4 linked regions of the Oreochromis niloticus genome follow. The protein of the gene in region 1 binds, or shares a complex with, the protein of each later gene. Links are inferred from orthologs where the notes say so. Each region holds a gene or a part of one and is shown in the gene's direction. Other genes may lie near its edges. The genes, in order: nup93, nup58, nup54 and nup35.

Evidence for each region.
Region 2: nup93 (region 1) and nup58 share a complex: the UniProt entries of both Homo sapiens proteins name them as parts of the p62 complex. The link is inferred for Oreochromis niloticus from reciprocal best matches to the Homo sapiens genes NUP93 and NUP58.
Region 3: nup93 (region 1) and nup54 share a complex: the UniProt entries of both Homo sapiens proteins name them as parts of the p62 complex. The link is inferred for Oreochromis niloticus from reciprocal best matches to the Homo sapiens genes NUP93 and NUP54.
Region 4: the proteins of nup93 (region 1) and nup35 are in contact, whole or in part, in a crystal structure (PDB 7MW1), measured with the Homo sapiens proteins. The link is inferred for Oreochromis niloticus from reciprocal best matches to the Homo sapiens genes NUP93 and NUP35. Residues at the interface, in NP_055484.3 of Homo sapiens: Tyr266, Tyr269, Asn402, Ala407, Asp408, Lys409, Thr410, Glu411, Tyr413, Tyr448, His452, Phe453, Val455, Asn456, Leu461; in NP_612142.2 of Homo sapiens: Ala88, Pro89, Pro90, Val91, Arg92, Ser93, Ile94, Tyr95.

The regions. Positions count from the first base shown.
Region 1 is NC_031972.2:63,343,212-63,350,316, reverse strand, and holds the start of nup93 (nuclear pore complex protein Nup93), read left to right. Parts: upstream 1-4,097; 5' UTR 4,098-4,265; intron 4,266-5,102; 5' UTR 5,103-5,106; coding exon 5,107-5,285; intron 5,286-6,447; coding exon 6,448-6,565; intron 6,566-7,105. UniProt on the Homo sapiens protein: Plays a role in the nuclear pore complex (NPC) assembly and/or maintenance. May anchor nucleoporins, but not NUP153 and TPR, to the NPC. During renal development, regulates podocyte migration and proliferation through SMAD4 signaling.
Region 2 is NC_031974.2:22,932,742-22,940,586, forward strand, and holds the start of nup58 (nucleoporin p58/p45), read left to right. Parts: upstream 1-4,840; 5' UTR 4,841-5,216; coding exon 5,217-5,296; intron 5,297-5,846; coding exon 5,847-6,007; intron 6,008-6,095; coding exon 6,096-6,128; intron 6,129-6,251; coding exon 6,252-6,530; intron 6,531-6,752; coding exon 6,753-6,921; intron 6,922-7,110; coding exon 7,111-7,176; intron 7,177-7,417; coding exon 7,418-7,592; intron 7,593-7,845. Other genes in the region: phosphatidylinositol-3,5-bisphosphate 3-phosphatase MTMR6, read right to left, coding at 406-537, 2,692-2,715. UniProt on the Homo sapiens protein: Component of the nuclear pore complex, a complex required for the trafficking across the nuclear membrane.
Region 3 is NC_031972.2:17,440,400-17,448,322, forward strand, and holds the start of nup54 (nucleoporin p54), read left to right. Parts: upstream 1-4,912; 5' UTR 4,913-5,029; coding exon 5,030-5,072; intron 5,073-5,459; coding exon 5,460-5,567; intron 5,568-7,021; coding exon 7,022-7,105; intron 7,106-7,255; coding exon 7,256-7,420; intron 7,421-7,798; coding exon 7,799-7,879; intron 7,880-7,923. UniProt on the Homo sapiens protein: Component of the nuclear pore complex, a complex required for the trafficking across the nuclear membrane.
Region 4 is NC_031987.2:30,648,345-30,655,698, forward strand, and holds the start of nup35 (nucleoporin NUP35), read left to right. Parts: upstream 1-4,336; 5' UTR 4,337-4,628; coding exon 4,629-4,641; intron 4,642-5,248; coding exon 5,249-5,416; intron 5,417-5,512; coding exon 5,513-5,652; intron 5,653-6,334; coding exon 6,335-6,392; intron 6,393-7,354. Other genes in the region: dnajc10 (dnaJ homolog subfamily C member 10), read right to left, coding at 874-924, 1,231-1,393, 1,511-1,720. UniProt on the Homo sapiens protein: Functions as a component of the nuclear pore complex (NPC).

The DNA.
Region 1 (7,105 bases):
ACTTGTGCTCGGCCTAATAATAATAAACAGCAGATACATAGGGCTTCGCACTTTGTCGGCCTAATAATTAAAGCTGCAAGCAGCGATATGAGGGCCCTCGCACCCCGGCGCGTCGAGCCAAGCCCAACACCTAAAACCAGCGCTTCCGATCTGATGTCACATTGATGGAATTCATGCATTTAACCACCAGCTAAATTTCATCTCATTCAACCATTATTATAGTCGTCCCACTAGGTGGCGCTCTAACCATTACTGACAAATGGCATAACAAACATTTCCGAGCTCGAGTCTCATCACGCCTGCGACCTTTGGAGAGATTGGACATTGTGTTTTTGAGCGACAGCAGGTTACTGCTTTTTGGCGAGGATTGAAACTCCACGTGCCGCCATGACCACCCCGTTTCCCTGAACGTAAAAAGCTTCGCAATTTAACATCACAAAGGTCTTTAGATTCCACACACAGGAGATCGCGTAATCTAATGAAATCCCTTGGAGGAGTTCGTCAAAGTATGAGGCCTGAAAAGAGGGGAAAATGTCGCCAAATTTACACATTAATTTAAAATGGCTGACTTCCTGTTGGATTTGGGATATTGCTCCAAGAGACTTTTTTGTACATCTTGATATCTCCAATAAGCTTGCCAGGTTTCAAACTCATACATAAAACACAGAGCAGGGGCTGTTGTTTTGAAATTTTGTAGGGGCGCTGTGGAGCCATTTTGCGCTGTTCAAGGAAATGAACATATAAAAGAAATCCCTCATCACATTAGAGGTGTGCGCCAAATTTCAAGACTTTTTAAACTTTTCAAGCCCCTCAAAAGCCACTTCATCTTTCATGGTGAACTGCATTGCCACCAGGGTGCGCCGTTCAGTTTATAGTCACAATTTTCTCACTGAAGCATAAGAGGGACTGATGGTGATATTCACCGCTTTTGAGGTGGCCACGATGAACCTGTGAAAACCAGTACAACAAAATGAAAGACATGACATTTCCTGGTGCCACTAGGTGGCGCTCTACGTATTCCTGACAATGGGCATATCAATCTGTTCAGGGCGGGTCTGACATCATCCCTGTAAAATCTGGTACTGATCAGATTGGATTTCATTGAGTTACACTAATTTGTTTCTTCATGGCGAGACCTCAATGTTCGCCATGCTGCTGGGGTCACACCCTTCAGCGAAAACTCACAGTTTTCTCTGTAACCCAAGACCAACTCCTTAAGGCTTTCCTGGAGAAATTTGAGGCTGCAGATGTCACCCATTACAATACTGTACCCCAAAGTGTAAAACATGACATTTCCTGTTCCCACTAGGTGGCGCTGTCCCTGATGTCAAATATGGCAGTTGAAATATGTTCAGGGGTGGAGCCTTATCATATGTGTCCACTTTGGTCAAGGTCGGACAATGTATGACAGAACGAGAGGCAATAAGATTTTCATGGCGAGTCATCGAAATTCGCCGTGGCGCCACGGCCTCACAGTAACCCGAAAACTCAAAAGCTCCGCAATTTAACATGGCCCAGGTGTGTAGTTGACACTGACCAAATATGAAGCTTGTATGATGAAATTCCAATGAGGAGTTCGCAAAAGTTCGAGGCATGGAAATGGCAAAATTAGAGCCAAAATGTCACCTTCACTTCCAAATGGCGGACTTCCTGTTGGGTTTAGGACATGGCCATAATAGACTTTTTTGTGCGTCTCCGAACGTTAGATATGTGTTCCGAGTTTTATACATGTAGGTCATACCCATCTCGGGGGCTCGCGTTTCTCATTTTTCTAGGTGGCGCTACTGAGCCAATTTTCCCTGGACATGTCTACAGACATTAAAATACGTAAATTTTCACCAGACCTGACGAGTGTGCAAAATTTCATGAGTTTTTGAGCATGTTTAGGCCCTCAAAAGGCCGATTCATTTGCCGAAATAATAATAATTAAAGCTGCAAGCAGCGTTATGAGGGCCCTCGCACCCCGGCACGTCGGGCCACGCCCAACACCTACAACCAGCACGTCCGATCTGATGTCACATTGATGGAATTCATGCCTAGAACCACCAGCTAACGATTCATCTCATTCAATCATTATTATAGTCGTCCCACTAGGTGGCGCTCTAACCATTACTGACAAATGGGATAACAAACATTTCCGACCTTGAGTCTCATCACGCCTGCGAACTTTGGGAGAGATTGGACATTGTGTTTTTGAGTGACAGCAGATTACTGCTTTTTGGCAAGGGATTGAAACTCCAAGTGCCGCCATGGCCACCCCGTTTCCCTGAACGTAAAAACCTTCGCAATTTAACATCACAAAGGTCTTTAGATTCCACACACAGGAGATCGGGTTAATCTGATGAAATCCCTTGGAGGAGTTCGTCAAAGTATGAGGCCTGAAAAGAGGCGAAAAAGTGGCTAAAATTACACCTTAATTTTAAAATGGCTGACTTCCTGTTGGATTTGGGATATTGCTCCAAGAGACTTGTTTGTACATCTTGATATCCTCCATAAGCTTACCAGGTTTCAGACTTATAAATAAAACACAGAGCAGGGGCTGATGTTTTGAAATTTTGTAGGGGGCGCTGTGGAGCCATTTTGCATTATTCAAGGAAACTGATCACATAACAACAAAGCCCTCATCACATTGGAGGTTTGGGCCAAATTCCAAGACTTTTTAAAATTTCCAAGCCCCTCAAAAGCCACTTCGTCTTTCATGGTGAACCGCGTTGCCACCAGGGTGCGCCGTTCAGTTTAAAGTCACAATTTTCGCACAGAAGCATCATGAAGGACTGATGGTGATACTCACCGCTTTTGAGGTGGCCACGATGAACCTGTGAAAATCAGTACAACAAAATGAAAGACATGACATTTCCTGGTGCCACTAGGTGGCGCTCTACGTATTCCTGACAATGGGCATATCAATCTGTTCAGGGCGGGTCTGACATCATCCCTGTAAAATCTGGTACTGATCAGATTGGATTTCATTGAGTTACACTAATTTGTTTCTTCATGGCGAGACCTCAATGTTCGCCATGCTGCTGGGGTCACACCCTTCAGCGAAAACTCACAGTTTTCTCTGGAACCCAAGACCAACTCCTTAAGGCTTTCCTGGAGAAATTTGAGGCTGCAGATGTCACCCATTACAATACTGTACCCCAAAGTGTAAAACATGACATTTCCTGTTCCCACTAGGTGGCGCTGTACCTGATGTCAAATATGGCAGTTGAAATATGTTCAGGGTTGGAGCCTTATCATATGTGTCCACTTTGGTCAAGGTCGGACAATGTATGACAGAACGAGAGGCAATAAGATTTTCATGGCGAGTCATCGAAATTCGCCGTGGCGCCACGGCGTCACCGTATCCCGAAAACTCAAAAGCTCCGCAATTTAACATGGCCCAGGTGTGTAGTTGACACTGACCAAATATGAAGCTTGTACGATGAAATTCCAATGAGGAGTTCGCAAAAGTTCGAGGCATGGAAATGGCAAAATTAGAGCCAAAATGTCACCTTCACTTCTAAATTGCGGACTTCCTGTTGGGTTTGCGTCACATGTAGTCACAGACTTTTTTGTTTGTCTCGGCATGATACACATGTGTGCCACATTTCATAGATGTAGCCCAAACGATGTGGTCGTAAGGCTGCATTTAACAGCGCATAGGTGGCGCTCTAGAGCCATTTCCCAGTGCTCCTATGTAAAACCATTAAAATACAAAATTTTTCACCAGACCTGGCATGTGTGCAAAATTTCAAGAGTTTTCGAGCATGTTAAAGCCCTCAAAAAGGCCCTTGTTTTGCCTGAATAATAATAATAATAATAATAATAATAAGAAACGGAGCAGATACAATAGGGCCTTCGCACTCTCGGTGCTCGGGCCCTAATAATAATAAGAAGAAGAAGAAGAAGAAGAAACAGAGCAGATACAATAGGGCCTTCGCACTCGAAGTGCTCGGGCCCTAATAATAATAACAATGATAATACACAGAGCAGATACAATAGTGCCTTCGCACCTTTAGTGCTCGGGCCCTAAAAAACCCCAATTATGACAGTAGGTGACGATATGCTTCGTTAATATTAGTTTGTTCGTTATTGAAACTGGAGAAGAAGAAGAACTTCCGGGAGGGACGCAGGACTGTCCAATCACGATCGACTCCAGAAGTGCCGGTCGGGGCAAATAATGTACTTGCATGCTGAAGAAACGGAGTAACAGAAAATAACTGTCAATACATTCACTCGTGGAGTATAAACAGGACCGTATTTTCTCCCACCTCACACAACAGGTATGAAGTGTGGTTGCTTCCAGCCGCGTTAGCAAAATGAACTTTTTGAGTTAACGCAACACTAAGAATATGTAAGAATAATAGCAGCTTAGCATGCTAGCTAACGCTGCACAGTGTAATTCATTCTGACTTGTAGCTACATGTTAGCATGCTAACGAAGCTTAGCCAAAAGGGCAGCACTGCAATAAAATAAAATGAATTCAAACGTGTTTTTATCGTGATTCACATCACGCCACTTCACAGCAGCCGGAATTAAATTTCATTTGAAACTGCATTTTTGTTGCTATTCCTAAAGCGAGTTTATAGCAGCTAAGCTAACACCACAGCGCTCCATGCGCGCGCTCCAGCTGTCAACTTTCCGAAAGCTCACACAGCTGTATGTCGTTATGTACATGGGTGTTTATGTTATTCACAGTTTGTATGTTATCGACTAGCCCTAGTCCTAAACGTGTTGTTGTTGTTGTTGTTGTTGTGGCAGTTCTCAGCTATATTACGTCTTAGACGTTTACGTGCTCACTTTACGTTTACTTCTGAATTTGTGTAAATCTCCGTCCACGCAGTTGAGGAATTGCAGTACATTTTAACCCAGTCCCTTCTTCTAAGAATTGAAAATGAACAACAAAAAATACATACAAAACCTTAGTCAGTGAGGTACAATGTTGATTAGGAATCTAAAATAACAGCAGCATATTTATGTAAAATTATCCAGGCCAATTATACATTTTTTTCCAAAAAGGATGTGAGCACCCTAAAATTATAGCTCCCCAAACCACTGTACACTATTCATCTCACCTCTGATGATGTTACATGTAAATATCTTCATTTGTTTCTCTATAGCAGCATGGATACAGAGGGATTTGGGGAGCTCTTGCAGCAGGCAGAGCAGCTGGCTGCTGAGACCGAAGCAGTGTCTGAACTTCCTCATGTGGAAAGGAACCTTCAGGAGATCCAGCAGGCGGGGGAGAGGCTTCGATCTCGCACACTGACCCGCACCTCCCAAGATGCTGCAGACGTAAAAGCGTAAGAAATATAAGAGAACTGTATTATTTTTCCTGAGGGAAATTCTTGTGGTTTCTATTATTGCACAGTGCAGTAAGAGTGGAAACAAAAACACTTAGTAGTCACAGAGTAAAACCAGCAAACAACAAAATAAAGCTGAACTATAAAATAACAAGATACAACCAAGAACAGTATGAAATAAGAACTTCAGCATGTGCAGATAGGCAGAAAATGTCCCACTGTTAATCATAATATTACTGCTACTGGCAAAAATGGTAATTGATAACAGATAATAAGTTACCAGTGTCACAGGACATGAAACATAGAGCATAGACAAACAGGACAAGTTCAAATAAAAAGTATAGATTGGGGGTGAGGGTACTGGGAGTGTGATTAACCACATACTGATCGTGGTCATGTCATATAAGGACGAGGAGTGCAAATAGCAATAGTAATATTAAATAATAATAAGAATGTCATCTACGATAACTGTAATAGCGATCCTCGTGTTTGTTTGTTTATATCTCCATCCATTCCATATAAACTCCCACATATACATACATGTGCCAATGCATACACAAGCAACTGGGGGGCAAAAAACAAATGAATGGTTAACTATGTGTATAAAGTTGTATAGTAAACAGTCACACAAGGCATTTTTAAAGATCAACATGAAAAAAGAGCCCCAAGAGCCTGGGAAGAGTTCCTTTTTATGTATAGTAGTAAGAGTCCTAATAATAATAATAGGATTCATAATAACAGACTCATGTGTATCTGAAAGGTGTGATGTAGTATATCTTACTGCAAAATTCTCATGTAAATAAAATGTATAAAATCATTTTTCATTTGTTTCCCATTAACCTCTATGATAGACGCACTCATTTATAAACTACATGTTTGGTTTTAAAGATTTAAAGAATATATTCCTTAATCAATAAGCTTGAGTGATATTTAAAGGATTTAGTCTATTTATTTTAAAACTGCATTGATATTAGATTGAAATTCTCTCTGTGATGTATGTGATGACATACATGATCTGCTGTGTAATAGTTCATATCAGTGCGTACAGTGTAAAGATCGTTTCTGTAACGGTGGTAAAGCGTTCGGCGTCCTCTAGTGGTCGTGTGGAGCAACTACAGTTATTTATCAGTCACTCCTTCATCACCTTTCTGTTTCACCTCAGGTCCATCCTCCTTGGTTCCAGAGGTTTAGACATCTTCCACATTTCTCAGAGGCTAGAAAGTCTCAGCGCTGCCACCACGTTTGAGCCCCTGGAGCCGGTCAAAGACACGGACATACAGGTATCATAAACTAGCTGCTAGCTAGCTGCTAATGCAGTATTATTTAACCTAAATGAACTGGTTCACTAGAGGAAGACTCGCTTACTACTGAGAGCACTGAGAGGTATTTTGTGGAGTGAAATAAGAAATAATCCATTGATAGATGGTAAGAAACTAGTACCTAGTCTTTTAATAAGCGTGTGCATATTTCACTTTCTCACAGAGAAACTGCATTTAGAAGTGAGGATTAAATTTGTTTTGTGGCTAAGGTCTGAAAGTAATTAACTGTAGATAATAAGTCTGCATTTGTCCCCACTGACAAGATAAGCCTGATAAAAACTGAGCAAGTGTGAAGTTTGTTAGTTAAAGGCTGAAAATGTTGAAATTTATAACTGGAGGCTGAACAGAACAAAGATTCAAGAGATAACAGAAATAAGTACACAAAGCCAACGAGTTAATTATTCCAGTGGAAAATTGGGTTTGCTGTGTGACCCACAGGCTCTGTTTTTGTGGACAGTCAAGAAAAATGACATTCATGGAAAATCTTATTGGTTTCAAGTT
Region 2 (7,845 bases), on another chromosome or scaffold:
CACACACATAGAGGTTGTAACAATTGGGGGCTTGTCCGGGATTTGAACCCCAGCAAGAATTACACCCCTAGACACAAAGCCTAGAAAGGTGGGGTTTTAAACCACACACACAGAGCAAACCTTCACAGAGGTGTAGCAGGAGTGAAAAACATAAAAACATTTTGCAGGGTAATAAATATTTATTAGTAGACTAAAAAGAGGACCAAATTGTCTAAAGAGCACACTTGGTTTGCATGAAACTGCACCATCAATTTATAGAAAACTGGCAACAGGAGGTAAAAGTTCTGTGAGCACTTGCTATCCTCCTGCCTCTGCACAACAGTGCATTTGCTGAGGTGACATCCATATGCAAGCACTCTGAAACCTGCATTAATGGGCAGCATAGTTGGCACAAAAACTACTCACCCAGACCTCCTGTCCAGCAGAGGCCGAGTTGTTAGAGTTGCTCTCCACAAAGATGAGATGCGTGGCTGTGAGGTACAGAGTGCCGTGAATGGATTTGTTGCTGAAGCGATCCAACAGCCGCACCTGCTCCACCTGCAAAAACAGATGTACATAGTGGTAATATCTAAATAATCAGGAGCACCCTTTGCTTCTCTTGCTGGATACACTGAGACTACAAGAGACGGCATCTTGCGAGCAGGGTTGACACCTGACAGAAAAATTACTGGCACCAGTTCCGGCTAGCACACCAATTAATCCTGGCCACCTGGCCCTCACTATCAGCTGCCAGTTTAATTTTAATAAGTGCAATCACAAGTGACATTTGCTGCCACTGCCTTAATAAATAAACCACCTGCCTCTTAATTAAACAATCCTATCTAGCTTAAAGTCAAACACAGTTCATTTTGTTTTTACTTCCTTATTGAAAATTTATATTCAATTGCTGCAACAGTGAAAGTGTAGCAACTTTTAACACTAATACCACATAAATGCAGATATAGCAGATATAGTGAGTTATATATTTACTCAAGTCACGAGTTTTCACACAGGAAGAAGGCTTAGGTCTAATAGCTATAACAGGTTTTAAAAAAAACCTTTAATGTGCTTCTGGTTTTCATCCTAGAAAAAAATAAATAAATGAATGAAAGCAGTTTTATACAGCACAATCTTTTTAAAACGTTACTAAAGATCTTTATGAGACTGGTGTCACAACAATATAAAACAAACCCAAACAATATCACCATTGGACTTTGCTCTGCACTGTTGCATCACAGAGACAAGACATATCAAAATAAAAGCTCCTGCCACCTTCACTCTATAGCCAAAGTGCATTTGGAAAGTCACTGATTTTTGGACTGTGCAGTGCTGTTAGCACTACCTGTCCGAATCCATGATTCATCACATTAGCTGTTTCTGGTTGACTCAGACATCCTCCACTTTGTTTCCGTTTGCTGAGATATGATGAAACGATCAAGCCTCTCTAGGTCGCTCAGCAACCTGCGGGTCGCGGCTCTGTCATAAGTCAGCTTCTTGGAACATACAGGAAGTCAGCTGAGTGTGTGTGTGTGTTTGTGTGTGTGTCTGCATGAGAATAAATGAGCAGGTTAGAGAGAAAGGGAAGAGAGAGGGAGGACAGAGACCACCTCATACCATCTTATAGGGAAGTTAATGTTAGGATTTGTGTTTCATTCTGTTACGTGCCTATGCAACTTAAACCACCCAGATTGTTACAACAAGCAGCTTGTTTTCAACACTATAACATCAAATAATAATCTCCTCCGACTTTTAAACCAGACAAACCACTGAAAGGTGTGGAGACAGACGGGGAACACCCATTCTGCATGGGTGTTCCCCGTCTGTTTCCATACCAGATCTCAGCATTTCTTTATTTTTTCCCCACCGACAAATAACACAATTGTCCTTGAACCTCAAGAATCGTGTCATACTGCTTCCTAACATGATCAAAAACACAGACGTTAGATAACATTAAGCACACCCAGCCACCATGTGGCAGACTAAAAAGAATTATGAAGATTACAAAGGTTATATGTACTAGGACTGTTGGCTGTTGTTGGTTGTTTTTGAATGGCTGTAGATTAGATTTGAAAGGATCAATGATTTAAGGGTTAAAGAGATCAGCTCTTTTGCGCGCACACACACAGCAGTATATTTTCTAGCAGTACAGGCCTGGCAGGGCTAAACTTGTACTGCAGCACTCCTCGACTCTCGCCTTTTTCAGCTGGTTGCTTTCCTTTTAATCTGGTCTATCTGGAGTGATTTAGCCCGGGCAGTGAGCTCACTGTCTGGCGTTTTATGCCGATGATAAAACTGTGATGGCCCTATTTGACGTACAGTCCAAGTCAGCCCTGCGTGTCTGTGCTGGATATGGTCCGGCTTCTCCTTGCTTCTTCAATCACACTGAATTCAATGGCTGTACTGACAGTGGATATCTGTCGCAACAAATAGCAGAGCGTGCAAGTAGTAAAATTAGATAGAGGAAGCCGATCTGCCTGATGAACGGGAAAAAACAAACGGCTCATTGATGCTCGTCACGTCTGCTGACACTTGGAGTCGTTGGCGACACCTACTAGCCGCCACGCTATAACGTCGATTCACACAAATTCACTCTGAACACTGATGGCCAGAAAACGGAGCCTCACTCGAGCCTTCCAACAAAATCGCAAACAGACAAGGCCCAGCTGCCGACTGTATCCCATCCATTTGCAATTAGCAAGAAACGTTAGCTACCTTTGGCGTTCGGATATGCTCCATTTTTCCCCCCCCCGGGTCGAAACAGCTGTCAGCGACTGCAAAGCTTCAAACGAAACCCTCCGGATTGAAATGTATCATTGGTGATGTGACAGCTTCGACTCCTGCACAAGCCGCCTTCACTTTTTCGGGGGCATACGATATGTGTTTATTGTCAATTATTTTCACTCCATCCGCGTAAAGCTCGCGCAAAGCACGTCGGCGCTTGAGGTGGGGTTTTTCAAAATAAAAGCCGGATCAACTTCAACTTTGAATTCCTTTACTTTTTTGGTGGTTGCGGTTGTAGGGCAGAGTTTGTAAGCCATTTGAAGTTATCGTGATTAATATAACCTAAAGACTTAAACTATTTGTGAAAAACGCTTTAGTTAATTAAAAGACAATAATAGATTTTTGATATAAAGAAAATGAACTGAAATGAACTCGGAAAACTAAGAAAAATAATAGAATGAGCCATTGATGGACAAGCTTACTGAGATTCTGTATGTCTGTATGACTGTGAGTCAACTGCTTTCAAAAAGTTCTTCTTATGTTATAATATTGACACTGATTTTTTTTCTAAATCCGTCCTGTAGTATATATTTTCCAAAAACAATAATACTTCAAAAGATTAAAACTAAACATTTTCCAAACAACAAAAACTGAACTGAAACCATCAAACCTACTTTGGGAAACTAACTGAATGAAAAGCAAAGTTAAAATGAAATCAAAATAAAAGATAATAAAAAAATTACAACCTATAATAATTATTGGCATGATTACTTATAAAATGTTGTCAAACTAAAGCAAATATACTTACAACGTGTGCTCTTCTCAAGAGAAATTGGTTCATCCTTTGACTATCTAAATAACTACTTTGACGGTGTATCAGACTAAGGATTCAGCATGACTCTGGAATAGGCTGCTGCAACCTTTCTACAGATGTGGGTCAGTCCACAAAAAGACAAACTGTCCACTTCTTCTTCTTTCAGCTGCTCCCCTTATGGATCACCACAGCGGATCATCTTCCTCTCTCTCACCCCATCTCTCCTGCATGCCCCCCTTCACTATATCTACAAACCCCCTCTGAAGTTTTTCTCTTTCCTCGTCCCTGTCAGCTCTATAGTCAACATCTTTCGTCCAGTAGATACAGCATTGCTCCTCTGTATATGTTCAGTCCATCTCATCTCTAAATCTGTCCATTGTTTCGGATGGGTGACCTCAGGTAAACTCATCCAACTTCATTATCATTCCTCTGTTCCTTGCAGCTTTATCATTCCACATGTCTCCCTCTAATTCTCACAGATTCTGTCTTGTTTCTTCTGACTTCCATTCCTCTTCTCTCCAGACCAGATCTTCTCTCCATGTCGCTAGGCTCCATCTTGCCTACCACACACCTCACCACTGTATTGCTGTCCTAAAACAAGTACAGCACCAGCCTCACATACTTCCCTGCCACTGCTGACTTCCTCATGCAGTGCCACAGTTCCTCTTGGCACCCTCTACAAAGGGATGAAATTCAGGACTGTGCACAGGTTACATCTAGCAAATATCACACTGAGAGCAAAACAAAAAAAAGAACCCAAACCTAATGTCAAAAGATCTGAATAAATCCCTGCTGAAACATGTATTAATATGTTTATATGAAATTAAAACATTAATTGATATTAATATTGATAAAATATATTTTCCAGAGTTTGCAAAAGATGACCTGGATGTTCTGCAACATTTCTGGGCCAAAAGAAAAAACGTGGAACAATTCAACAAATGTTGAAAAGCTCAGATAACATATTTGCAACATATTTGTTTTCATAATTTTTTGGTTCATTAGGTTACCAAAAACTATTTCTGACACAAACTTTTGAACCATTCGTCCGCCCCGGGTTCAGTATGATGGAGCTGTTGCTCATTTATCAGGTAAGTAACAGATTATTTAAACTCACAGAGACAATGACAATTTTGAATCAGCATTGTGCAACCAGTTATACTCAATTTTGCAAATACATTAATGTACTCTGAGCTATTCATCTACCGCGTTGTAATTATAGTCTGTAGCTGCCTCTTTTATTTTGAAAGGAACACCGGATTCAACATACATTTGCTGCTAAGGACTGCCAGACTTGATCCCATGCGCATGCGTGACACATCACGAGACGCTATATCTGCGGGGATGACGGTTAATGTAGTTGAAAAAAGAAAATCCACTACCCAAAATGCACTAGCATATAGGACATACCAGGCGGGGAATAAGAAAAGTGACACCATGCGTGAATGCACCCTGCGATAATTGTCAGGTTTAAGAAATAGAAGCGGAGGAACAGGTTGTGTAAACATAGCGGGTAGCAACTGAATATTTTGGGATTTAGTGAGAGAGCTGATGAGTTCAAGTATGTTTTGGTGAAGACGGGACCGCGGGCTCGGCCCTCACGCGGGCGACTAAGCTAACTGTCGTGTTAGCTGTGATGTTTTCAGAAGTGAGCTAAGCCCACATAACCGATTGGTGTTGACACTGTGCCTTTTAAAAGAAAATGTCTAGCTTTAACTTTGGTTCGGGAGCTCTTGGGTCCACCAACACAGGTGGAGGATTCACATTTGGGGGCGCAACCAGGTAACGACAAATTTCAGATAGCCCACTTAGCTAACGCTAGCATAACCAGAGGTATCTTGGCGTTAGCATATACGGCTTGCGAGTTTCAAAGTCAGTGCTGTGTACGTTGTTTTCCCGAGTTATTCAGCAATGTCGGGTTATAGATGAGCATTTTAATGAGATAAATTTGTAAACTCTGTTATAATTTGAAACTTTGCACATGCAGGCACTGTAGAGTGAACTCTTGCAAACTGCGGGCTACCAGGAGAAGTGTTTGAAGTAACAATTAAGCTTTAGTAGTTTTAGTTACTTTTTTTAAAAAGAGGGAAATTAGTTCATAACTGGTAATAATGTGGTTGGGATTACCATCCATCTGTAAAGCACTTATCACCTTTTAGGTCTTCTATATAGAAATTTAAGACCCTGTGTATTTTCTTTGACAAAGTCCTAGTTGTTAATCTGTGTGTACTGTAACCATAACACAGTGTCAATCTTTCCTTAATTTGAAACTTGTAGAAGATATTGTAGAAGAATGTATGGGCCTAAACCTATTACTTTTTTTCTTTGAAAGTGCTCCTGCGGCCAATACCGGTGGCTTTTCTTTTGGTACAGTTTTGGGTACAGCAAGTGCAACCCCCAGTACCAGCACCAGCACCCCATCTCTTGGCCTAGGAAGCAGTCTTTTTGCTCAGAAACCTGCTGGAGGATTCTCCTTCAATACACCTGCCTCAAGTAAGAATGCAAAATAATAAAGAAATAAAACTATTTGTGATATTTCCGCCAGCTGCCCATCTTATGCTGGGACCTTGTGTTATTTCAGGTGCTGCTGCGCCCACTACAGGCCTCACATTAGGTATGTTTGGGGTTCTCTCTGGGGTATTTTGAAGTTGAAGTTGAAGTGTTTCTGAACAACAGGTAATAACTATGTTTTGTTTTGTTTTTGTTTTGTTTTTTAAACACAATTACTTTCTCTCAGGTGCCCCAGCCAGTACAGCTGCCACCACTGGCTTTAGCTTGGCTTTCAACAAGCCCACAGCCTCAGCTACGCCGTTCTCCCTCACAGCTACTAGCACCTCTTCGACAGCTGCTGCTGGGACAGGCTTGACGTTTGGCTCTGTCCTGACCTCCACAGCTCCACAGCAGCCTACAGCCACTGGCTTTGCCCTCGGTCTCGGCGGCACTACGACCACCACCACAGCAGCCTCAACAGGTCCATCACTAGGCAGCAGTCTCTTCTCCAGCACTGGACCCACAGGTGAGAGGCAAACTGTCAGCTTTACAGAGCTTATGTGTTAAAACATGGCCAAGTATTAACAGAATACCATCACTAGGATAGATGATTTCAGACTTCTTTTGAGTTAGATATGCAAAGTGTTTGCGATAATTAAGGGAGTACAGTGACTGCTTTGAATTACAGTGTGTTCTTTTTAATTAGTTGTCACAGTCCTGTAAACTGCATGATTATGTCTTGCTGCAGGTCTGGGTCAGGCTACTCTCGGTGCAGGAGGCGGGTTATCGTTCGGTTCTCTGCTGGCAACCTCGACAGCGTCATCAGCACCTCCTGCTCCGAGTATTGGCCTGGGTGGAGTCGACTTCAGCACTTCCTCTGAGAATAAGAGCGACACATCTTCTGGAGCCAATGCGCAGTACGTCCTAGTGACCCAACGCGGTCCTTTACTGTCTTATGGAATTTGTCTAACAAAAGAGTCCACACTGTTATGCAGAGAAGAGAAAAAATTACTGAGAGACAATGAGTGTCTCACTCTGCTGTTAATTGTTTAGCACCGACTATCCTTTCTGTTCTAATGATGAAAAACATTTTTTCTCACCCTCAGAGACAGCAAAGCTCTAAAAGATGAGAACCTGCCCCCAGTTATTTGTCAGGATGTTGAAAATTTTCAGTAAGTATTGGTGTGTGATTTTTATCAGGTGTTTATTAGGTTGAATGCAGCAGTATGACCCAACCCAAATTTTATCTGGTGAGGTCACTAGGATTTCCCCCATTCTGTGTAAAATCCCAGATGCATACATGTAGTTTGAGTAGTAGCACTTTGAAAGCATATTTTGATAGTTTGGCATATCTGTCAGAGAGCTTTTATGTCATCTACAAGTGATTTCCTTCTTTTCTCAATTCCTTTGCAGAAAATTTGTGAAAGAGCAAAAACAAGTTCAGGAGGATATAAGCAGAATGTCATCAAAGGCCATTTCTAAAGTCCAAGATGACATCAAGAGCCTCAAACAGCTTCTGTCTGTCAGCGCCAGCGGTCTGCAGCGCCAAGCTTTGGCCATCGACAAACTGAAATTGGAGACGGCACAGGTAAAAACAGTGTACTTATGTTGGTACAGGTGTCCATTTCTGATGCACGTTTTTTGTCATTAAAAAGTTAGTCAATCAGACACTTGCATTACAAACCCCTAGTGGATACACAGTATATAGTGTATGCAGTGTTGCAAAATATATAAGTCAGGAAGTTCAATATCAGTGTTCATTTCCTAAAAGCATCTGTAGATATACCTAAGATAAACAAAATTATATAAAATTGGACTTCAGATGAACTTAACTTAATATG
Region 3 (7,923 bases), about 46 Mb from region 1:
TTAGAAAAGGAAGGTGAGGTCCTCTGTCCTCTTCCTTTGTGTAGGGCTCTGGTCAAAGAAGTCAAAAACAAAACCAAAACATTTTTTAAACAGTGTTTATAAAGCATGTAGACAGCTCCAAATTCACAGCTTTTTGATACATAATTCCATCAATATATGATTATCATTGGAGATTTTGAATCAGGCTTATCAGGACATTCAAGTAGAATATGATATCCAACCTACCACCAATATACACAGATTCTGTAAAAGTTACCACACTAAATGTCCAGTTGTGAAATATGATGACAGACTTTACTTATCAGCTTTCTTTCAATGAGTTCATCAGTTGAACTGGATAACCTAAAACTTAAACAAAGGAGAACATTTCGCAGTTGAACACTTACATCATCATTGAAGCATTTTATGAGCCTAGTCAGCCCTCCTATGCCGCTCTTGATTTTCTACAGCTCCACGAACCTCTCCATAATGGTCAAGCACAGCAAAAAGGAACCCTTTCAGGTCAACAGATGTAAGACGGGCAAATTCTGCTTCAACCTGAGCAATAGAAGAAGAGGGGTGGAGAGTACAGGCAGAATAAAAAAAAGATTCTTTGAGACCCAAATTTAAGCAAACAGTCATCTGAGGCCCATTAGAGAAAACACAAACACACAAAAGCAAACAAACAAAAAGATGCACTTTACCTGCCGTTCAGCAAACAAGGAAGTTCACAGAACAATAAGCTCTGTCTTGAAATCTTTTAAAGTAGAATGATTGTGAAAATGACTTATGTGATGTAAAACTTTAGTAAATGTGCGATTAAAAGAACACTGAGTAAAAGGACAAGTAACAATTTCCTTATTCCTCAGATGTTTACCTTGATGAGCAATACTGTTTTAGTCCAACTGCCTCATTAAAGTTACACAACAGGCTTTTTACATTAAAGCCAGCAAGTCCATTACATACTCCCTTTTTAGATCTGAAATACTGTGCAGATTCTGTGTATATGTAGTGGACAGCAATTTACCCAAAAGAGTGCAAAGTTTGCAAGTCCACCTCATTTAAATGACAAAGACAGATGTGATCATCTAGACCTGTGAAAATAAATTAATGACAAACTTGCAGTTATGGATGTTATTACAACCACAAGAACCTAAACAGTCTGCTCCATTGCTTTTGTTAATGAATCATTTGTTGGTAACAGGTCTGAATATTTAGTTTATGCCACCTGCATGTGATCATCAATAGTGCCATATTACTTCTTAAGAAGTACCCTGACACTACAATCTTTATATCATTTGTTCTACAGAGCTATTAAGTTACAATATAATCTGTGGTGTTTCCAGTATGACAAAATGCACAAATTGTAACTTACCATTTGACTCCACTGACAAAAATAAATCCCCAGCATCAAGTTTGGCTTCACAGACCTAAAATAAGTAAAATAAAAATATATGTTATAATTATATTGTTTTCGCCATTTATTCATGTTTGCTAATTTTCTGACATATAAACAATATTAGTTTTGTTACAATACAGAGAATGCAGTTTAATTAAAAGGTAAATTATGCAAAAAAACAAAAACAAAAAACTTCTGCAGTATACCATGCCAAAAATCAGTGTCTCTGATGCCAATTATTTTATCACTACAGCTCTTTTAGTATGGAAACTCACACAATCTAGTCATACTGATCACAAGAGTTCAAAAATAAGTTAAAATAGTGAGCTGTTGTTAAGCATAAAGCATTTCAGGGTAACAAATAACTGCACAATAGAATTAAAGCAAAAAATAAACACACTGGAGGACTATCTGATAAAAACTAATATAATGCTGGTTTGTAGACCATATTTTGTCTCAATCCTCAGTGCACTCTTGCAGCTTAGCATGCAGCAGTTAATAACAACTTAAGTGATTACATAGGGGTAAACAGATGACAACAAGCATCGGAGTCCTGCCAAAAAGTTCTTTTTGAACCCAGTCAGTTATTGGAAATATTGCCAAAATGAACTTCCACCAAAATACAACAGCCTGTGAACTTGAAAGAAATTTACAAGTACAGAGACAATATGAAATAAGCTTTATTAATTAGCTGAGTTAGCTTGCTAATATCGCAACAGTGGTTGAGTGCACAACCTTAAAGCTAGCGGCACAATACTTGTGATTTGGTCAGTGCCACATTAAACCCATAAAAAAGGCCATGTGTCAGTTTATTAGGTCAAGTTTGGTCATGACACACAAGCTGGACCTTGTCGGCTAAAGTTACATTAGCTAAAGCAAACATTTCGGTAAAAGAGAAAAACACACATCATGCCATAAATTCAAAACATGTTCCAACTTTTGTAGCTCTCTTTCCTTATAGTTATAACCAATGTTACTCACCTTGAAAGCATATTCCAAAGAAGACGATTAGAAAACGTCCAAGTAAAGTGAGCATGTCGTTAACCGCCAATTCCCCATGATGCACCTCGGTAGGAGTCACGTGAGGCAGTTTTGAATCCTGCTGTGCTCAACTTACCCACATTGTCAAGTTCACATAAGTTTCTGATTTAGCTGGACATGAGTTTTCAAGTTAGCTTTTTTTGGTGTAATTGGGACGTTTTTAACTTGTAATTCTATGTTATAACAACAACTTCAGTCATCTATCGTCAAACTGATATAGAATAATATGTTGAAATAACAAACATCTAGAATTACATTTTACAGTGCAGTGGCGGTCCTAGCCTGTCTGGTGCCCTGGGCGAACACTCCCTCTGTGTAAATGTGTAAAAAATGTTACATAATGTTTGGAGTTTAGTCTGTTACTGTTACTATTTTTACCATTTTTTTTTTTTACCATTTTTACCATTTCTTCTTGGAGCAACTGTAACCCACATAATTTCCTTAGGGATTAATAGAGTATTCTGATTCTGATTGTTTCAGGATACATGACCTGCCATTATCCAATGACACATCTGCTTACCTGTATCTTTTGCTCGTTTCTCCTCCTCTTCTTTTCTCTTTTTTCTAAACTGAGCACCTGATGGCTTTGAACTTTTCTAGTCCATCTTCCATTGGTTTTCATTTTGCACTCCAGTATGAACACCCATCCTTCAACCCGAGGATCACCACAACATAACCTAATAGACCTACACCTTAGTTCACAGATTCACTTTGTCTGGGGTTTATTTCTGGGGTTTCACACAACCCAGGATTCAGATCATGAATACATAATGGTTTTTGGATTTACAACATTATGAATGAAATGTGCTCTATTTGGAAGCAGCAGGGCTCTCCTCCCCTTTCGACGGGTTGTGTGTGAGACTTTAAATCATCAAATTGTAAATTATAAATTTTAAATTGTTATTGATCCCTGTTATTGATTTATTTTCTTACTATATTGTTTGTTTACTTGCACTGCAGTAACTGGAGCCTCGTCGTCTCGTCTCTCTATATACTGGACTGTATGTAGCGGAGATGACAATAAAGTTTACTTTGACTTCAGCAGCAAGCAGGCGCACCGAGGGCTCTCGCGCTCACTTTTCGCGTATAGAATTTCGAAAAAACATCGGTGCAAATTATAAGTCTGTATCATTATGTCTGATGTTTTCGTGTTTGTTGGTTTGTTTTTATTTTGTTTTATTTTGCGGGTTGGTTATTAGATGCTGCTCCAGCCAGCCAGAGAATCCCCCGCCGCCCCGCCCTCTCCTCCCTGTGCCGCAAGCAGCAGGCGCACCTCGCAAACGGATGGCGGCCTTACTCCCAGCAAATGGGCGATAGAAAACCGATCGGTGCCTACGACATTCCCAAAATGCGCTGGCATCATGTCGGGGCAGCGTGAGTACGAGCAATTTTTTTTTTTTTTTTTTTTTGCCCGTGATGCCGCCCCGGGCAACCGCCCGTGTCGCCCGTATCAAAAACCGCTACTGATCTACTGGGATTTTCCCACACAAGTATTTCTAGGGTCTAAAAACTATCCAGTGAGCTGTAAAGGTCAGAGGAGAATGGCCAGACAACTTTGAGGAGAAGATTATCTCTGAACGCATAACACATCAAACCTTAATGCAGATCTGCGACAGCAGCAGAAGGCCACAGCGATGCCACCCCTGTCAGCTAAGACGGGGAAACTGAGGCTACAATTCACACAGGCTCACCAAAATTGAAAATAGAAGGTTGGAAAATGTTTTCCAGTCTCAGTTTCTGCTGCAACATTTGAATGGTGCTGTTGTAAACATCCTGACTTGTATCAGCTGGGCAGGTTGTTGGTGGTGCTGGTGTAATGTTATCTTCTTGGCACATTTTGGCGCCTCTTAATACCAACTGAGCATTGTTTAAATATGACGGGCTGCCTGAGTATTGCTGCTGACCATGTCCATCCCTTCTAACAGTGTACCCATTTTCTGGTTCCAGCAGAACAATGCATCATTTCACAAATCTCAAATGGTTTCAAGCTAATTTTTTGAACATAAAGAGTTTATTGTACTCAAATGGCCTCTACAGTCTCCAGATCTCAATAAATAGAGATGCAATGTGCTAATTTCCATCATGCATGTGTAGAAAATAAATCTGCAGGGTGCCCAAAAATTGATTCCCAGGATTTAAACAGTTGTAAATGACATGCTGGCTTAAAATCTTCCAGAAGGAAGATTCCCATTGCAATGTAAAAAGCTAAAATAAAAAAAAAAACGATATAATTATATAACATATATTTTATAATGTTGGTACAGTATTGCAGAGTAATAATCATACTTGCAAAGCAGGTCATTTCTTTATTTATATATAAAACCCCTTCATACCCCCTCTTGATTGCAATCTATTTACCAATATAATCAAATATAATGCACATAGAAGACACACGGAAACATCTCACTTATTGACACAACACCGGTCCTGTTCCTTGCCACAAATATTTTTCATAAAAGTACTCTATTTGTTTCGGCGGCTGTTGAATTAACATTTTGGGACAGCAGGTGGCGGTAGTGTGCCACCCAGTTGGACCAGAGTCAGACGAAGAAGCAGCAGCAGCAGAAGACGAAGAAGAAGAAGAAGGTGTCTGTGGTGACAGCACTCAACATGGCGTTCAATTTTGGCGGTGCCACGAGCAACCCAGCAGCAAGTATGGATATTTTTTAGTTAATTGGGAAATACTTGTAAGAGCTGGTAATGTGTTACATATTTCATGTCGAAGCTAAAGCTGTGTTAATGCTTGTACATGAGTTATAAATAGAAATGGCAATGCTAATGGTTCACCCTCAGTTGTTACGGTGGGTTCGTCTACCGGCTAACGACAGACCTCACGTGAAAACGGAGAGCTTTTACACTTGAGTCAGTGCAACTAATGAACTGTAGTCGGATTTGTGTTCGCGTGTTTCGGTGCTAATCTGGGCTCCAATGAGACCGAGCTCTTGTGGCTAACTGTTTTGGATGCCCGTGTGTAAGCTAAAACAAGCTAAACTCACCCAGTACTTACAGCGCTCTCTCGTTGTTTGTTTGTTTCTAAAAGGCACGTCCGGGTTTTCATTCGGTTCATTTGGAGCCAAAACTACGCCATCGACAACATTTGGCTTCGGGACCCCAGCCACTACCACCACAGCCTCATCCGGATTCGGTAGTAAGTCCACAGCTCAGACCCAGATTCCTCCTTGCGGGGATTATCCTGTGCGTGGGGCATTATCATCACGTAACCGCCACCAATATGAACATAGAATGGGTTTTTTCCCAAACCCTTCTCCTCAAAGCATAACTGAGCCCACTGGGTTCCCTCAGTCTAGGGCTCAAAGGTTCTGGGTTGTTTTGTTTGTTTTAAATTGGGCATTTCTTCACCTCTCGATGCATTTTGAACATATCTACCAGTTGGTTTCTTGGGTTTCCTTTTTAAAGCTTTAACACTGGCAAACTAAGCACTCACTATATGGTGCACCTCACAGATACAGGCAGCTGCTAATCAGTCCTAAATAACAAACTAATTAAATACTCAAATGTCACTCATAAACCCAAACTGCTTGGATGGATGGTATCACACAGCAAGCCATATTATTTGCCAAAAAATTCATTTTAAAATGCTCAAAAGGGCACCAACGCTATAAACATTGTCAGGGGGTCCAGTTCATGATGAGCTTGATGAAGACCACCACCTGAAAGGCATTGGTGGTAAAGCAAGCATTCCTGGAGCTTCTCCAAGAGGTCTGGTTATTTGGATTAGCAACCAAATGTGCATTTTCTCACTGTTTAGCAAGTGGTTGTTGGCTGTTGTTGCTGTGAAATTGGTCTCAAAGAAGAATGCAGTGGTGCATTGAAAAGCCTCCTTGTGATTGCTAACAGATAAGTGGTCGCATATAGTTTGCATGGAAGATACACCAACTGCTCTCCATGCACTAGTAAAACTGCGAAAAGTGTGACACAAACTGTAAACTGGGAGTGTTCACCTTCAGAGTAAAAGTTGTATGTTTTGAAACGTATTGGTTGAAATGCTGAGGCATATGTCATTTGAGGGCAACAGAACTGCGTTTCTGGTTTGTCGCACTTTTTCCAAGTTTCACTACTACTCGACAAGTAGTTAGGTGTTTGCAGACAAGTCATCATCTTCCATAAGATGCTTTTGATGCAGCATTTTCGTTGCAACCGATTTCACTCAGTGACAGCCAGCAGTCTTCAGCAACCAATCGCCAACCAGGGAATGTGTTTTTTTTTTCCCTTGCAACCAGTGGTTGCCACGTAGTTGCCAGCTAGCCTCAAAGCCTGTGTGATCTTGTCTAAATAGGGCCTTACTAGTATTCAACACAGACAGTTACATACAGTCCAAAACTACTAGGCTGTTAATGTGGTTTTCATAGCTGAAGTTGAGCATTTTATCATGGGAGTCTGGGGATTCACTCACATCTGGGAACTGGAATTGTGGGCACTTTAGTAAACGGTCCCTTTTTAAAAAAAAAATTCCTTCAGCGGTTGCTACATAGAAGTTAAAGACCCTCTTCTGCTGGCTGTTAATGTTTCGTTTTACTAACTAATGCAAAATAAAGCCATGCATATATAATGTATTATTTCTGTGTGCTTTGCCTTCATTAGCTCTAACAGCCCCTGGTTTTGGGGCAGCCACCACCACCACTGCTGCACCAGCCACAGGCTTTAGCTTTGGCTCCACCAACACTGGTAAGATGCTCATTGTTCAGACGCGTAGCTTTTCTTTTAAGACACTTGAAGACTGTTTTTACAATAAATGAGTCCGTGCTGAATCTGGCATTGTGTCATTTAATTCCATGTCATTCTCTCTTTCTCGCTGCCTGCCTGCTTTGGCTGCAGGATTTGGGGGGCTGGGAGCTGGAAACACCACGGCTGGTGGGTTTAGTTTTGGGGGGTTCGGTTTAAATGCAAACCCGGCAGCAGTCAGCTTTAATGTGGGGTGCTTTGGTACAGCAACCACCACTGGCACAATTTTCAATTTTGGTAATAGCCTGGCTAGCACAGGTAGATGACCTTTGTGAATCAGTACACTCTGTCTGTAAACTTACATTTCCATCCATTGTTTGATATCTGTGTGGATCAAGGATCGTTTTATCTTCACCTGGTGATTCATTTCATGAACACAATACATCGCTGTGATTGCATGAAGAGACAAAATGTTGAATTTTTTTACTCATTTCATTTGATTGCTGTGAAGAGTCAGTACACTTTCACCTTTGTGTAGAGGTAAATCGCTATATTGTAGTGAAATTCTCATTCTCCTCTTATTAATGGTAGCAGTTGTGAATTCATTCTGTCATTCTCTCACCTGTTTTGTTTGTTGGTTTGCTTTTGGGGGGTTTTGTCGCCTCGTTGAGCACATTTCTTTTCTCTTCTTCTTAGGCACATTCGGTGGCTTCGGAACAACAACGACAACTGCTGCTGCACCAGGGGCAACATTTAGCTTTGCTCCCCCTGCAACGGGTTAGTTATAGAGCTGGTTTGAACCCCCACTCTGCCTTATTACA
Region 4 (7,354 bases), on another chromosome or scaffold:
AACCAATCCAGCACTCAAGACAAACAACCAAGAGCTTCTTCAGGCCTCTTCACTCATGAGCAGAGAGTTTGAAATCAGAAGAAAAGCCAAACACATCCATTATGAAAGAATAGAACCTGATGTTCCACACACAATTACAATGTGTATGTAGGACTATTACAATTACAATGTGTGGAACCGCACATAGTAATTACAAGTGTATAAATGTGCATCTGGGATGTCAAACATAAGACTGAGGGGCGAGAACTTCAGATTAGATTTTGGACTTTGTACTGTAATTTGTCTTTCAGACAAAATGATTTTTCTTCAGTCCTCTCAGACTGCTCATTGTGGATTACTAAATGTGAACATTTGAGAATGGGCTAAAATGTTTTTATACAAGAACAAACAAACTGGAGATGTTTGTTTGTTTGGTGAGTTGATTGGTTATTTGGGGCCATTGCACTGTTTTTCTGTTCCAGCACAACTAAGATTAGCTCAGGATCTGTATGACCAATGAACTAAAATGTGTTTGACACCTCTGAAGTTCCTTATGCAATATATGATGTCTGTTATTAAACAAGAACAACATCTGCATGGAACTCAATATGACTGACTCCAACCGAGTGACAAAAACTGAAAATAAAACAGTAGTCAGGAGGTGTGAAAATAAAGAAGAGATTGTACTAATGACTGAGACATAAAGACAACTCCCATTATTTCTCCTCAAAAAGATTTCAAAAGCCAATCAAAATAAATTTGAGAAATCTTTAAATTTAGATAGTTCTTACGTGTTGGCATTTTCTGACAGGAAAACATCAAACAAACTAAAAAGAATGAAGGTTTTTCTCATTTGTACACTAAAGCAAAAACAGAATATGTTTTATATCTTACCAAAGTCTCCACTGTCCAGCGTGATGATCTCCAAATCATCGTCATATATACCTGGACAGAAAGACAAACTTAAATACTGAACAACTCTTTGTTCACAGCAGAGCTAGCTATTCTTTTCTTTTTACAATATCCTCATAAAACGATTTCTATACAAACCATTGTAAAAACATTAAAGTGTTGAAACATCTCATTGGTTGTATGTCTGTGAAGGTTCTCAGTCATCCAGGTCATCGTAGTCAAAGGAGTTTGCAAAGAAAAGCGTCTGGACTTCTTTAAGTTGCTTGAAGACGTTTCACCTCTCATCCGAGAAGCTTCTTCAGTTCTAAGGTCAAATGGCAAATCTCATTGGTTACTTACCAAAGTCATATCTGTAGTAGTTCCAGCTCTCATAGCGTCCTCCCTGCTGCTCGTCCAGCCCTTTTTCTCCATATTTATCATATTTCTTTCTCAGGTCTTCATCCTTCAGAACTTCATAGGCACGATTGACCTGCAGGAACTTCTCGTGGGCTGAGGCGTCACCCTGAAATAGTCGATAAGCACCTGTTTTGTCAGGGTTTCATAGAGACGCGACAAATTTCAAAGAATTACGGTGTCATTTTTTTGTGTTTCTGGATTGTGGTTTGTCCATGTAACTCACAGGGTTTTTGTCAGGGTGCATGGTGAGCGCCAGCTGCTTAAAGGCCCGTCGTATCTCTTTGGTCGTCGCTTCCCTGCTGACTCCCAGCAATTCATAGTAGTCCTGGCCCTCTGCCCAAACTGCCACCAAAAGGACGGTGAGGAGCATCGGCAGCACCGTAAGCCAGACGGACCGAGGGCGCTGGGCCCTGAGGGCAACCCTGTGCGCCATGGGGAATGCTCCTTCAATGAGTCAACGAGCAGCTGCAACTAAAGGAACTGGGGCAGAAAGACACAAAGATCAGCTCTAAATACCCTGTCCACCCAACCCTGTAGCCATTACCATCCCCCTGCCTCACTAGTATCACAGTAAGTGAGGCAAACAGCTTCTTTCCACAGCAAGAAAAAAACAAATACAGTCACCACAGGAGAGCCAGCGTGTCACCTTAGGAGTGTCGTTTACATATGTGGCCTGTTTGGATTGGCTTAAAGGATGGAAGCATTATCTCTACTTTTATATAGCCTCAGGCTTTAGAAGGACAAGTGGTCTGCAGCTAAAAGAAAGAGCAGCATTTTTTCACACCATTGTCTTTTGCATTGCAGTTTCCTGCACCTTGAACTATTCAAACAGTTGCTTTGATATCTGCAGATTTCTTCCCTGTTTTCAGGGTCACTCCAGGGGGATCGCCTACTTTTACAGTACAACAGTTTTCCTTGAGAAAAAGGAACATATTACAACATATTTAGTTTTACATCTTACACAAACAAAAAACACAAATTTAAATGAAAGCTGCATCTGCTTCCACGAAGCTGCCTTTTAATTAAATGGTAATTACATTTAATAAAAGGTAGCTTTCAAAGTAAACGCCTTTATTTCTCTATTCTTGAGCAGAAACAGAGCATCCATGTAGATTTGGGAACTGTTTACAAGATTAAGGAAGAAATAAATAGTAATAGTACCACTCAGATATTTTAATAAAAATTTCAGAAGATTCTGAAAAACAAGCCTAGTGAAAAATCTTTTTCTTGATACAGTAGAAGATGCCAAAAAGGTGACACATCAAAGTACATGCACTGTTAACACGCCTGTGGTTATTACCACTGCTGGGTGTGCACAGAGGAAAAAGGAAAACAAAACATTTCTGTTAGGTTTTCTAGCTCTTCATTAGGACCCCTGAAACAAGCTAAGCTAAGCTAACAGCCAGACAACAACAACTATTCCCGTTACAACTTGCTCAGCTAACTAGCTCGTTAGCTTCACTGCGACACGGAGCTGTTTGCTGTCGTGTTGGTGAAGCAAAAGCCAATATTCGTGTAATATGTAGCAGACATTTCAATATTAATTTTTTAATGCGTCGGCTTTGTTACCTTTAAAGAGTCCCAACTTCCAAAAGTCTGGAAATGAAGATCCGCATCAGCGTCCGGCTCGGACCCGGCATCAAGTTGCACACAAGCTGCTTCCGTTTATTGTGCTTCACAATAAAGGTCTTGCAGCTAAACGGTACACTCTGAGTCTCACACAGACAACATAAAACTGTATGTATGTTCAGAAAGCCGCTCGCTAATCTAATTTCATTGTGGTACTCTGTTAATGATGGCTGCTGTTCCACCCACCAGCTAGAGTTGTAATTGTATTTTAATAACAGAAGCTCTAGCCACCGGATACATCTTGGTTGTCTGTAGTAACTTGACAAATATTTAACAGTACCAGCCACATATTGATGACGTTCACGCAAATGGTGTGTTCGTTCGTCGGCGGATGTGCGATCCCAATGCTTCCAAAACTTTTCCACGGAATTTCAGTGTCCGGAAAATAATTATGAGATAAATATTCTTAAAATAATTAAAATAAAGTAATCAAATGGGGGAAATATAATTTCAATTAAAAAACGTTGATTTAGTTATTAGATCAATGCATTTTAGTTATTCTTGAATTTTGGGTAATTAATTAGCAATCCAGCCGGCGTGTACCTTCTAATATTTCACAACATATTTGTTTTCTAGCATTCCCTGTGTGTATGTAAACGCCCTGTAAGTAATGTTTTGTTTGTTCTTCCTACTAGTGCTTTTCTTTTCATGAATTTCTCGTGGATGCAATTACTCCATCAGTCAGTACAGGTTCCGAAGAGGTTATTAATGTGATGCTAAAATGCTGATGTTTATTTGAAGCTTTTAAAAAGTTCATTTACGTTAGACTTATCAGGTACTTAGGCTATAGTGCTTTCATTGAAAATCCTCGTTTGGCCAAACCAAGGGGTTAATAATGCTACAAAAATCTTTTTTTTAAAGCTGTTCCCTTAAGAACTGGCCACAATGGATCATCTTTGTTTGTTTGTTTCTGAAGTTATCATTCAACACTGATTCCCCGTCCAATAGCAGTTTGAATCACGGAAATAAAGTCTGTAGTGGTCAAGAGAGTTTTGTCCTGTGACTATGCACAGAAACACCCTTTTTCCTCAGAGCTTGCTTGCCAGGTTTTCCCTCCTTTAATGTGACTGGGTCAGATTTTACCCAGAATGTGAAACATCAGCAGACCAATCACAACTGGAGCATTTACAGCATGAAGCAAAAAAGTGTAGTATGTTAAATTATAGTCTATAGTATATAGATTTTATTGATTCCTTTAAATGTTTTCGGTTAAGCCCAAAATAAACAAATCATCATTAAAACAAATCCCTTGTATGCGTGTTGATGGAAAAATTAACTGTAAGAAAATAAAAGCCCTCAGATATTTTTCTGTACCGCTTCCTCGCTGTTTGTACGTTCATTTCATTCATTAGAAAAATACAAATGAACGATGTTACGCAGGGCAATTGAACGCGTCATCACATTGACGCTTTCTAAATTCGCCGGAAGTAAGCTGTAGTACTTCCAGTTTAGCATCAGCCTTTTCTCCCAGCACCTCTGAGCTCCGGAAACACCCCGTGTTGGACTGAAAGAGCAGATTTTAAACCGGTCAGCTGTAACAGTTTAGATCCTTAAACACAGCACTGACTCCTAGTCGCGTTTACGGTGCAGTAACAGTGAGTTATTGTGACACATCATTTAGCTTTGCTAGCCGCGTTAGCCGGCTGCCATCCCTTTTTCCGAGCGTCACTTCCTACTTTTGAAAATCGCGGCCAGAAAGGAAAGAAACAGAGATGGAGTTACAAGGTAAGGGAAACTTTTTGAAATCTTAACCCGTTGCGTTCAGTTTGATGATATTATATATTCGGCATTTATGGGTTTATTAGGCAAGCATGTCATCTGTCAACTCTATGTTGGAGCAGCGGTGCTTATGTTCTTGCTTCTGGCGCTGTAGAAGGTAAAGCATTAAAAAAAGCCCATGTGTCGACCACAAGTGGCTGTATTTTAGTATAATTTATATATATATATATATATATATATTGATGAATACTTTAATCATTAGTTAGCATTTTTATAAACTGCGGATGTCCTAAGACGAGAGAATAAGTTAAAAAAAAAATGCTCACAGGTCACAATGAAGTTCACACCATGAGAACGTTCTTTTTTCAGTAACTAAGATTCCTCTACACAAAGCATTATTCAAATATATATACACCAATTTGCGTTCATCTCCAGATTTAACATTGATAATAAACACCTAGATTTGGGGCATTTCTTCCCGCTTGTCAGAGTGTCAGAGATAGACATGCTATCAGAAGCTTCTTAATAATATACTAGCATCTAAGCGCTAAAGCTTTATTTCTATTAATGGCTGTTTTGGACCGTCTGTCATGAAATTATCCCTGTCTCTCAGTGGGCTCAGAGCCGATGACCCTGGGCTCTCCTACCTCTCCTAAGCCAACCTCTGGAGCTCAGTTTCTGCCCGGTTTCCTGATGGGTGACCTGCCAGCTCCAGCTAGCCCACAGCCTCGCCCTTTTAGCTTGGCCTCACCACTTGCAGATAGCACAAGCACACATCGAGGTGAGTGGAAGAAGAGACACACCTGATTGTTGTCTAAAGCTTATATTTTAGATTCATTAGTGACTGATATTCATACTTAACTTATTTTAAATGGAGGAGGAGGAGGAGGTGGTGGTGGAGGTTCTGCCATGCAGCCTGTTGTCCCCACACCCAAAGACAAGAGTGGAGCCCCGCCTGTTCGCAGTATCCATGACGACCTGGTTACTGTAGCGACACCTCTTGCTGCACACAGACAGGTGAGTAAGCATGCACGGTAAAGTGAATTGTTAAACCGTCTATTTTCACATGAAAACTGCCACCTCCTGGTTTTGTAACTGAGACAACAGCAGGAGGGTTTTTGGAGAGGGAGACTGAATTAAGAAATGCAAATGGGTGAAGGCTCGGCCATCAGACGCTCCCCAATGAACCCCGACCCCAGGTCAGACACAGTCACCTTGTGTCCAGTGAGCTCACCTAGGCCATACTTCTTCACAGAGCAGTCTTTTGAATCACATTTAGTAAAGAACCAAACCCAGGACTAGTTTGGGACAGGACAGCATAGCTCCTGGGATCTTTCACGAACAGGAATGCCTCTACCCTCAATAAGGTAGTGATTCATGGAGGCCTTATAGCATTTCATGGGGACTTAATTTCTGTACATCATCATGCATGCTCAATATGATTTTCATATGTTCACAGATGTTCAGGAATAGATACAGGTGGTTGAATGGCACACAATTGGTTCCTGAGCAGGTGATCATGTGCACGATGAAAGTAAACATATAGTAGGCAATGATGCAAACCAAAAAAACCCAGTGTGACAAGGCTCATTACAGGCCAGATGACTGGCTAGTGCTTGTGTTTAATCAAAATTCATGATGACATGTGAAAAAGGCTTTTTAAAATTATGTTCCTCTGTCTGATTAACTCTCTCTACAGTCGTTCCCAGTCATGCAGTCTCCTCTGTCAGCACGTCAGGCCTCTACTCCAGGAACAGGTACACACTGACACTGCTACTACTCTGTTCATAGTGACTTTACAACAACTTCTAACAGTAATGTTTGTGTTATGTGCTGCAATGGCTAGAAGTCATCAAGGATATTTTTGTTGTAGAAACATTTAAAAACAATGGCTTCCTGAGAGTACTTTAAAAAAAAAAAATGTAAATAAATAAAAAGAGCAGCTGGTGACAGAAGTCATTGTAGCTAGTGAAGTGAGGGATTAGCCGGCTAAGTCAACAATCAAACTTTGATGGGACCAGAACTATGAGGTTGGTTATACTAATTATTACTGTCATCTGTAGCACTGGTTCACTGCTTAGTTATGGAGTGACAGATCTATATCCACAGCTGCCCAAAATCCTCTCACTCCTCACGCTTATGCCCTTAGTGGATGTTGTAAATGGGAGAAGTGGAATTCCTGGTGGTACTTTTATCTAGAAAGTTAGTGGTCAGAAAAAGCATATTCTGTTTTATAAAGGGAAACAGAGTGTTGGTCGTAGCACTAATTAGAAAATGTTACTCTTTTCTTACTTTTTGACTAGCCTAGATTTAGATTGCAGTTTGATCACAGTGACACTAAGGGAAAATGGTGGTATGAGATTGTGGCACAACCATAATTATTGCGACAGTGTGCAACAAATATGAGGCCATGTTTTCTTTAGGCTGGTTGCTTCAAAGATGGGTGGCAGGGCTGGGACGTCTCGCAGTCAGTTGCTGTCTTCAAAGCAACTTTGTTGCATCAAGATGGCAAAACGGATGAAGTCTGTCTGTGATCATTTTTTCTGTGTTAATAGACAAGACAAATAGTGACGTGGCTGCTGGATGATAAAACTGCAAAACAGACACTTTGCAACTTGTATGTGGGAATATAACTAGAACATGGTTGTAAATCACTAGACAGCCACATTTAGTATTTTTCCCTTCTCTCTTCTAGTTTAAAAGGAGGTTTCCGTCCTAC